2 linked regions of the Mus musculus genome follow. The protein of the gene in region 1 interacts with the protein of each later gene in a biochemical or structural test. Links are inferred from orthologs where the notes say so. Each region holds a gene or a part of one and is shown in the gene's direction. Other genes may lie near its edges.

Region 1 (3,650 bases):
CGGCCATGGTGTTGCTTGGCACGGGGCTTGGGTGTGCCTGTGTGCAAGGGCTCGCTGCTTGGGGCGGCGTGTGGGAGTGGGGGCCGCCCCCTTGAGTGACTCACCTGACCTTTCTCCTTGCTCTCTGCCCTCTCACCTCAGTGTCAATCGGAGGTCACGGGCTAGGTAAGCTGCTTGCTGGGGCCACTCCCAATGCCCCTACTGCCCAGAGAGGCAGTTTCCTTTCCTCTTCATTGCTAATTCATTCCCAGGACAGTTCCAGCTGCAGCTCTAGGCAAGGACAGAGTTGGGGAGGCTGTGAAGACAAGGCCGTGGGCTGGAGGGTCAGGGCCCAGGGAGGTTTCTGGAGCTAAGCATGAGCGCTCTGGTTCTCCCCTCTCTGGGCCTCCATTTCCCCATCTGAGAACTTGGGTTGCAGCTGAGAGCTTTGGGGTGAAGTATATCCTAGGAGGCACCTCAATGGGGATTTTGGGGTCTGGGGATCTTGGCACCCCAGGGAAGCACCTGGGGATGGGCAGCAGGTGCTTCCTTCTCACAAGGGCTCCTGTATGGGCTCCTGCATGGGCTCAGGGGACAAGGTGGTTTCCTCCACCCACTGGGAGTCTAGCCCTTGTCAGATCCACAGACTTCCATCCCCGCCTCCCAGGGGCCTCTGTGTCCTGGGCTGGGGGAGGTGCATGAGTGGGTGGGGCTGGGTGGTGGTACAGTAGTGCCAGTGTCAACTGCTTGGGTGGCCAGCATGGCAGGGCCTGGCCCAGCCTCAGAGCTCCAAAGTGCATTCTGCGACCAATCTTTTTTCCTTCTTTCTTCCCATTCCCCCAGCAATGATGTTAGACAGTCCCTATCAGGCAGGTTTGTCTGCCCTAAGACAAAGACATCCTAGGAATACTGATATGAGACTACAACTACTTGCAGACTTCTGAAGGCTATCAGACAGGCATTTGGGTAGATGGCCAAGGACAGGATTTAAGATAGCTAGGTTTTTGTGGCAAAGGCTAGATTATTTTGTAGAATAGTTTATGGGGTTGAAGATGGCATATATGTGTACACAGGGGAGGACAGAATTAGGCCAGGAACTTGGAGTGGCCTCAATTTTCTTGGCCATTATGTGTGGAATGGAGTCAGGGCGCCCAGCCAGGGAACTTAAATCATCTTTGGGTAAGCCAGAAGGTTGTCTTGGGCCCGGTCAGTGGCTATTGGGACATTAAGCAGTAGCCCAATTAGCAGGTGTACTTTGAGGATGCTATGGTCAAGACTTGCTGATCACCTGGAGCTTGGGTACAGAAATGAGAAATCAAGAAGCTTTCAGAAGGCCCAAATCATTAGCTAGATGATACAGGGCAGGCATAAAGGAAGTTCATGGCAGCATGGGCAGCAGGCAACTAGGGTAATAGCTGAAGTTGCTATCTGAGTCTCATGTAGCCAGTGTGAGACCAAGGTCGAAAAGGGGGCTTGGTGGCAGGCTGGCAAGGGGGCCCCTTAAACTTGGTCCTCATATAAGTTTGGTGTTCCTAGCTGCTTTCCTTGTGGGAGGCTGGGCTGCAGGGGTGCTCTGGCTGCCAGGCCTTACAATCCACAGCTCCCAAGCCTCCACAGCTGAGCCCCAGATCATAACATTACTGTCCTTTCTCTTTTCTTGGGCACTATGGGGCCCTAGAGGCTGCTCAGATGCTCTACCCTTGCAACCCTGCAGTGGTGGCTTGGGACTCCTGTCTCCTGTTCCTTGGGTGCTGCCACTGCTTTGCCAAGCCTGCTGTGATGCACTGCTAACCCTTCTACTTCCCTGCTGCTTGCTCTTGCCTGTGCCAGGCTGTGCTATGCTGCCTCTCATTGCAAGCCTCTGGTTGAGCAAGCGTTCTCAGTTGTCAGGAGACTCCAGTTTCACCTTCAGGCCTCGGGGTTGGGTAGGGAGGAAAGTTTCACATCCCCCACACTGCAGCAGGACTCTGCCTCACTTCATCCACACATAGCACTGGGGCCCAGGGCCAGACCACGGGTGTAGGTAGCCATGGGCCTGGCCAGAGTGCCGGTATAAGTTAGCATAGGCCATGATACCAGCTGAGGCTGAGTTGGCAGAGGAGGTAGCAGTAAATGCTTGTGCTGGGATTGGATGGTCCCTTACTTGTCTTCCCAGGTATCTGGGTACCACTTGTTGGTCTTCTCTCATAAAGGGGCTTGAGGTGGTCAGGAGAATCCTTCCTGCCTTCTGAGAAACCACTCACCATCGTAGCTTGGGGTATGGGTTGGGCTAGAGATTGGGGCTGGCTGTGCTTGGTTGTAGCAGTAAGAGGCCTGGATGGGTAGCAAGCTGATGGGGGTAGCCAAAATGTTCGGCTCACCTGCTGGCTCCCCTCTGGGGATTCACTCTGCTTTACCAGGTGCTGGCATTGGCCCCACCATCCAGATTGGGGAGGAGACGGTGATTACTGTGGACACAAAAGCAGCAGGCAAAGGCAAAGTGACTTGTACTGTGTGCACACCTGATGGCTCAGAGGTAGACGTGGACGTGGTGGAGAATGAGGATGGCACCTTTGACATCTTCTACACAGCTCCCCAACCGGGCAAATATGTCATCTGTGTGCGCTTCGGTGGCGAGCATGTGCCCAACAGCCCCTTCCAAGTTACAGTGAGAAGAGGCCAAGGATGGGTGGGCAGGGAGATCTGGGAAAGTCCTAGCCTGTCCTTCCAGGTCCCTTTGTGACAACAGTCTCCAACCCTCTCACTTTGCCCCACAGGCTTTGGCTGGGGACCAACCAACAGTGCAGACCCCATTAAGGTCTCAGCAGCTGGCTCCACAGTATAACTATCCTCAGGGTAGCCAGCAAACCTGGGTAAGGCCTGGGCCTGGTCTATTATTCAATTTGTCTAACCCATAGGGACACTTGAAGCTGGCCACCTGGATGTCTCATGTGGCCCTGAGAAACCCCATATCTTCTCATAGCCCCTCACCTGATTCTTCTGTCTCTATTGCAGATTCCAGAGAGGCCCATGGTGGGCGTTAATGGGCTGGATGTGACCAGCCTGAGGCCCTTTGATCTTGTCATCCCCTTCACTATCAAGAAGGGGGAGATCACTGGTGAGTGAGGGCTAGGAAGAAACTTGGAAACTAGTGATGGCCAGGGTGTTCCAATCTCCTGGCCTGACATTGAAACCACTGCTCTGTAGGGGAAGTTCGAATGCCCTCAGGCAAGGTGGCCCAGCCTTCCATTACTGATAACAAAGATGGCACTGTTACTGTACGTTACTCACCCAGTGAAGCTGGCCTGCATGAAATGGACATTCGCTATGACAATATGCATATCCCAGGTGGGTGTATTGCCTCTTGTCCACTCCATCCTAGGCCCGTGTTGCTATCATCTCAGGAAGAACAGGCTAGGGCTGGGTTATAGGTCAGTTAGTAGAGCCTAGCATGCATCAGGCTCTGAATAAACTAGGTATCATGGCACATGCCTGTAATCATAGCCCTCGAGGCAGGAGGATCAGTGGTTCAAGGTCATCCTTAGCTTCATAGTAAGTTCAAAGCCAGCCAGAGAAACATAAAGACCCTGTTTCAAAAACAGAACCAAAATGACTAACAAATGAATGAGTCTGGTATTCCATGTGGCTTCTATTCTGGTCTCAGGAAGCCCTCTGCAGTTCTATGTTGATTA
Region 2 (3,650 bases), on another chromosome or scaffold:
AAGCATGAGGCCCAGGGGCTTGTTAAAGGTGTCCCTATACTGTTCCTCTGAGGGAAGGGACAGTCTCTGCCCTGAGCTCTGTCTAGACAGCAGTGGCTTCTGAGGCTGGTGCTATGTTTCTGTTATGTTATTTACACCTCACCCTAAACAGGAGAGGGCAGGACTATGACTCTTGACTAACAAGCAGGTAAACTGAGGCTTCTAAAAGCTGTCTAAGGCCCCAGAGCTTGGGAGTCATGGTACAGAAACTTTCATGGTCCTGATGAGCCCTCAAGGCCTGGTGCTCTTCTCAGAAGGCCAGGACAAGTCCTCCGCTGCTGAAAATGAAGTCATCGGAAAGGGTGAGAGGAGCAGATGGCTCTGACAGAGGAGCTGTGGCTGACACAAGCCTTTGATCTCAGCCTTTACTGAGCTATCTCAGCTAATCTTCGTCTACAGTGTGGAGCCTACAGAGAAATCATGTGCACACCGGTTTGCTCTCTCACTCCAAGAGATGCAGAAGATGTAAAAGATAAGATGATGGCAGGAAGCTGCTACCAGGCTTCAGCCCCCTTCCTACAAGCATGGCTCAGTGTTTAGTTTCTTTTTTAAATTTATTTTCATGATTTTTTTAAAGTGTGTGTGTGTGTGTGTGTGTGTGTATGGGTGTTTGTGTGTGTGTGTGTGTGTGTGTGTGTGATGTATAACTACCCACAGATATCAGATCTCCTGGAGCTGGAGTTACAGGTAGTTGTGAGCCACTGTGGGTACTGGGAACTGAAGCCCGTGTCCTCTGTAAGATGTGTACATGGTCCTCACCAGTTAGCCATTTCTCCAGTCCCTCCATGGTTCCTTAAGAAGATAGCAGAAGCCAGTTCTTTCCTATTTCAGATGGAGAACAAAACAAGCCCAGGACTGGGGTTGTGGCTCAGTTGGTAGTGCTTGCTTATCCTATACAAAGCTTTGGGTCCAATCTCCAGCACTCTAGAGTTAGAGGCAGGAGGTTCAAAAGTTCAAGGCCATCCTTGGCTACATATGGAATTCAAGGCGAGCCTGGGCTACATAAGATGATGCCTCAGACCAACCAACCAACCAACCAACCAACCAACCACAACCAACCACAACCATCAACCCCAAATCCAACTAACAGTCAGTAGGATTTCCTTTAAGGAGCTTTGTACCTAGCTGGAGCTGCTGCTGCTGCCAGGGCACACAGCCTAGGGCCCGTAGTGAGGGCTGAAAGCCTAGTCTAGAATACATCTTCCGACCATACATTCAAGTGTAGCTTCACATCTATGAGTGGGTTATCCTGAGTCCTCTCATGTCCTGTGTCCTGGTCTGTGATGAAAAACTTGGCCTCTCAGGACTCCATATGGATTCAGAGAAACAGGGTAGACGAGGTTTTGTGACAAGGAACTTACCTTAGCTCTGACGTCTGATGGGTCCTCCTGGATTCAGGCAGTAGGCATGGCCCAGCCTACTCACCCAGTGGTTAGCTTGGAGGTGCTCACCACACAGTGGCACTAAATTATGGCAGAACCACTGATCGTTCATGGCTCTGCTTGCTTCTCCCTCTCCAGGTGCAGACATCAACACGCAGGCCAGTGACAGTGCATCAGCCCTCTACGAGGCCAGCAAGAATGAGCATGAAGACGTGGTAGAGTTTCTTCTCTCTCAGGGCGCCGATGCTAACAAAGCCAACAAGGACGGCCTGCTCCCCCTGCATGTTGCCTCCAAGAAGGGCAACTATAGGTCAGTCCATAGCCCTTACTGTGTATAGCACAGCTCTCCGGGGATGCCTAAGGAGGGCAGGGGCGGGGCAGGGCACTTGATCTCCATGGCCCCTGAGAGGACTCTTTCTTTGTTTGCTTGTTTGGTTTGGTTTGTTTTTCGGTGGGGTGGGAGGATGCAGAGATAACCTGCAGGTCAGCTAGCTGTTTGCTGAGGATGCTCACAGCAACGGACAGGGACCAGTCACCGGGTACCTCCCTAAACATCATGCTCGGGTGGGAGAAGCTCAACTTCTCCAGAAGCAGTCTGTGGGAGGGAAATCTCTCCCCCCACAAACACAGAGATGAACAGTCCACACGCATTCATGATGTGATGAAAGATCATCCAGACCTAAGCTCCATGCTGGCCCCCGTAGAAGGGACCTGGCAAGGGCTGGAGCAGAGCGCACTGGAGGCTGCCTGTCTGGGCTCATGTGTCCACTGCAGCCCCGCCCCCCAGGAACATGTTCACTCACATGTAGCACAACACTGACCATGGTGGGAGCTTGTACACCATGGAGTGAGCTTTTCTCTGGCACCTCCAACACCCCACTCATCTGAGAGCCAATTGCTAGGAATTTAGCACCTATACACTGTGGGTGGGAAAGGGTGATTGGGTGGGGTGGTCAGGGGGATGCTGGTTGTCCTTGCAGATGGACACTGGTCATTTCTAAAGTGTGGACTCACTGCCGAGCTGTGGGACAGCCCCTTTTATAGAAGAAGAAACTGACCAGGTAGCTAAGAGCCTCGTGCCTCAGTGGGACCATCCCCATGCCTAGGATATCCTCTACTGGTAGGGCAGTTCCCAGTCACAGACCCTGGCAAGCTTTCTTTTGATTTTAGACAACTTTCACTAGTTTTAAAATATCCTTTTCCTTAAAATCGTTTTCAAAGGAAACATTCACCACAGTGGTATAGTGAGACAGTAATTCACAGTTACTAGAAAAGCCATGCCGTGTGCCCTGGGTGCCACACTGGGGGGTGCTCTAACTTCTCAGACTCTCAGAAGAAAGAGAACAGATTATGTTTGGCACTGTCAGTGAGGCAGGGGATGGATAGGGGAAGAGAAATAGCCACTGAAAATGAACCAAAGGCCCCAAAGGTTCCTACACTGTCCCCCAGAGCCCCAGACCTTCCTGTACATGCATACAACTGCTTTCCTGAGGGTTTCCCAGCGAAGGGTTAAAGTTGGATTCCCAGCAGCCCCTGCCACCTGGCTGGGCCACTGTTCTCTGCTCACACCCTGGGCATGTGGCATCAGAGGCCCTCCCCATGCTGGCCTCCCACAGGCTGAGAAGGGATTTGATGTGACATTCCATAGGCATTCAGCCACCTGCCAAAACACCCTGCCTACCCCTGGCCCGGAGCAAAACGCCTGGAGCCTGAGGCCATTTGCCAGATGTGCCTGCTCTTCAGCACACTGGGTGGGGTGTGTTGGGGCATGGCTGATAGAGGAACCTAGCATCCCCATTCCTTAGGCACATTTACTGTCATCCATTTCCAGTGTCTTATAGCAGAGCAGGTAGATTTCCAAAGACCCTGTGAGCAGGAAAAGAATTTGGCCAAGGACCCTTGAAGGCAGGGGCTCCTGACCTTGGCTGTACAGCCCGGATTCAGGCCCCACCTTAGATAATGGCACTGGGCTGGCCTGGGGCGGGGTGCCAGGATTTCCACATGGGGCTTGAATGAGTTCCAGGAACTTAGCACCTCTCTATTGGCCAAGGGTCAGGCCACCATGACCTGTTGACTAAGGTCTCCTCTAGCTTGGTGCAGCAGGACAGGGCCTGCTGTCAATGCTTAGGACGCAGACTTCTAACTGCCTTCTAACAGCCTACTGTGTGCCGATCCAACAAAAGTGGGAGGTGTTAGCCTCAAAACCAGGCTTGGCAAAAGAGACGGCAG

Evidence for each region.
Region 2: the proteins of Flna (region 1) and Asb2 form a complex in vitro, tested with the Homo sapiens proteins (3 studies listed by BioGRID, with this or other methods). The link is inferred for Mus musculus from reciprocal best matches to the Homo sapiens genes FLNA and ASB2.

What each region holds. Positions count from the first base shown.
Region 1 is NC_000086.7:74,229,482-74,233,131, reverse strand, and holds part of Flna (filamin-A), read left to right. Parts: intron 1-141; coding exon of another isoform or gene 142-165; intron 166-2,378; coding exon 2,379-2,626; intron 2,627-2,735; coding exon 2,736-2,831; intron 2,832-2,973; coding exon 2,974-3,076; intron 3,077-3,165; coding exon 3,166-3,306; intron 3,307-3,622; coding exon 3,623-3,650. UniProt on the Homo sapiens protein: Promotes orthogonal branching of actin filaments and links actin filaments to membrane glycoproteins. Anchors various transmembrane proteins to the actin cytoskeleton and serves as a scaffold for a wide range of cytoplasmic signaling proteins.
Region 2 is NC_000078.6:103,328,426-103,332,075, reverse strand, and holds part of Asb2 (ankyrin repeat and SOCS box protein 2), read left to right. Parts: intron 1-1,559; coding exon 1,560-1,731; intron 1,732-3,650. UniProt on the Homo sapiens protein: Substrate-recognition component of a SCF-like ECS (Elongin-Cullin-SOCS-box protein) E3 ubiquitin-protein ligase complex which mediates the ubiquitination and subsequent proteasomal degradation of target proteins.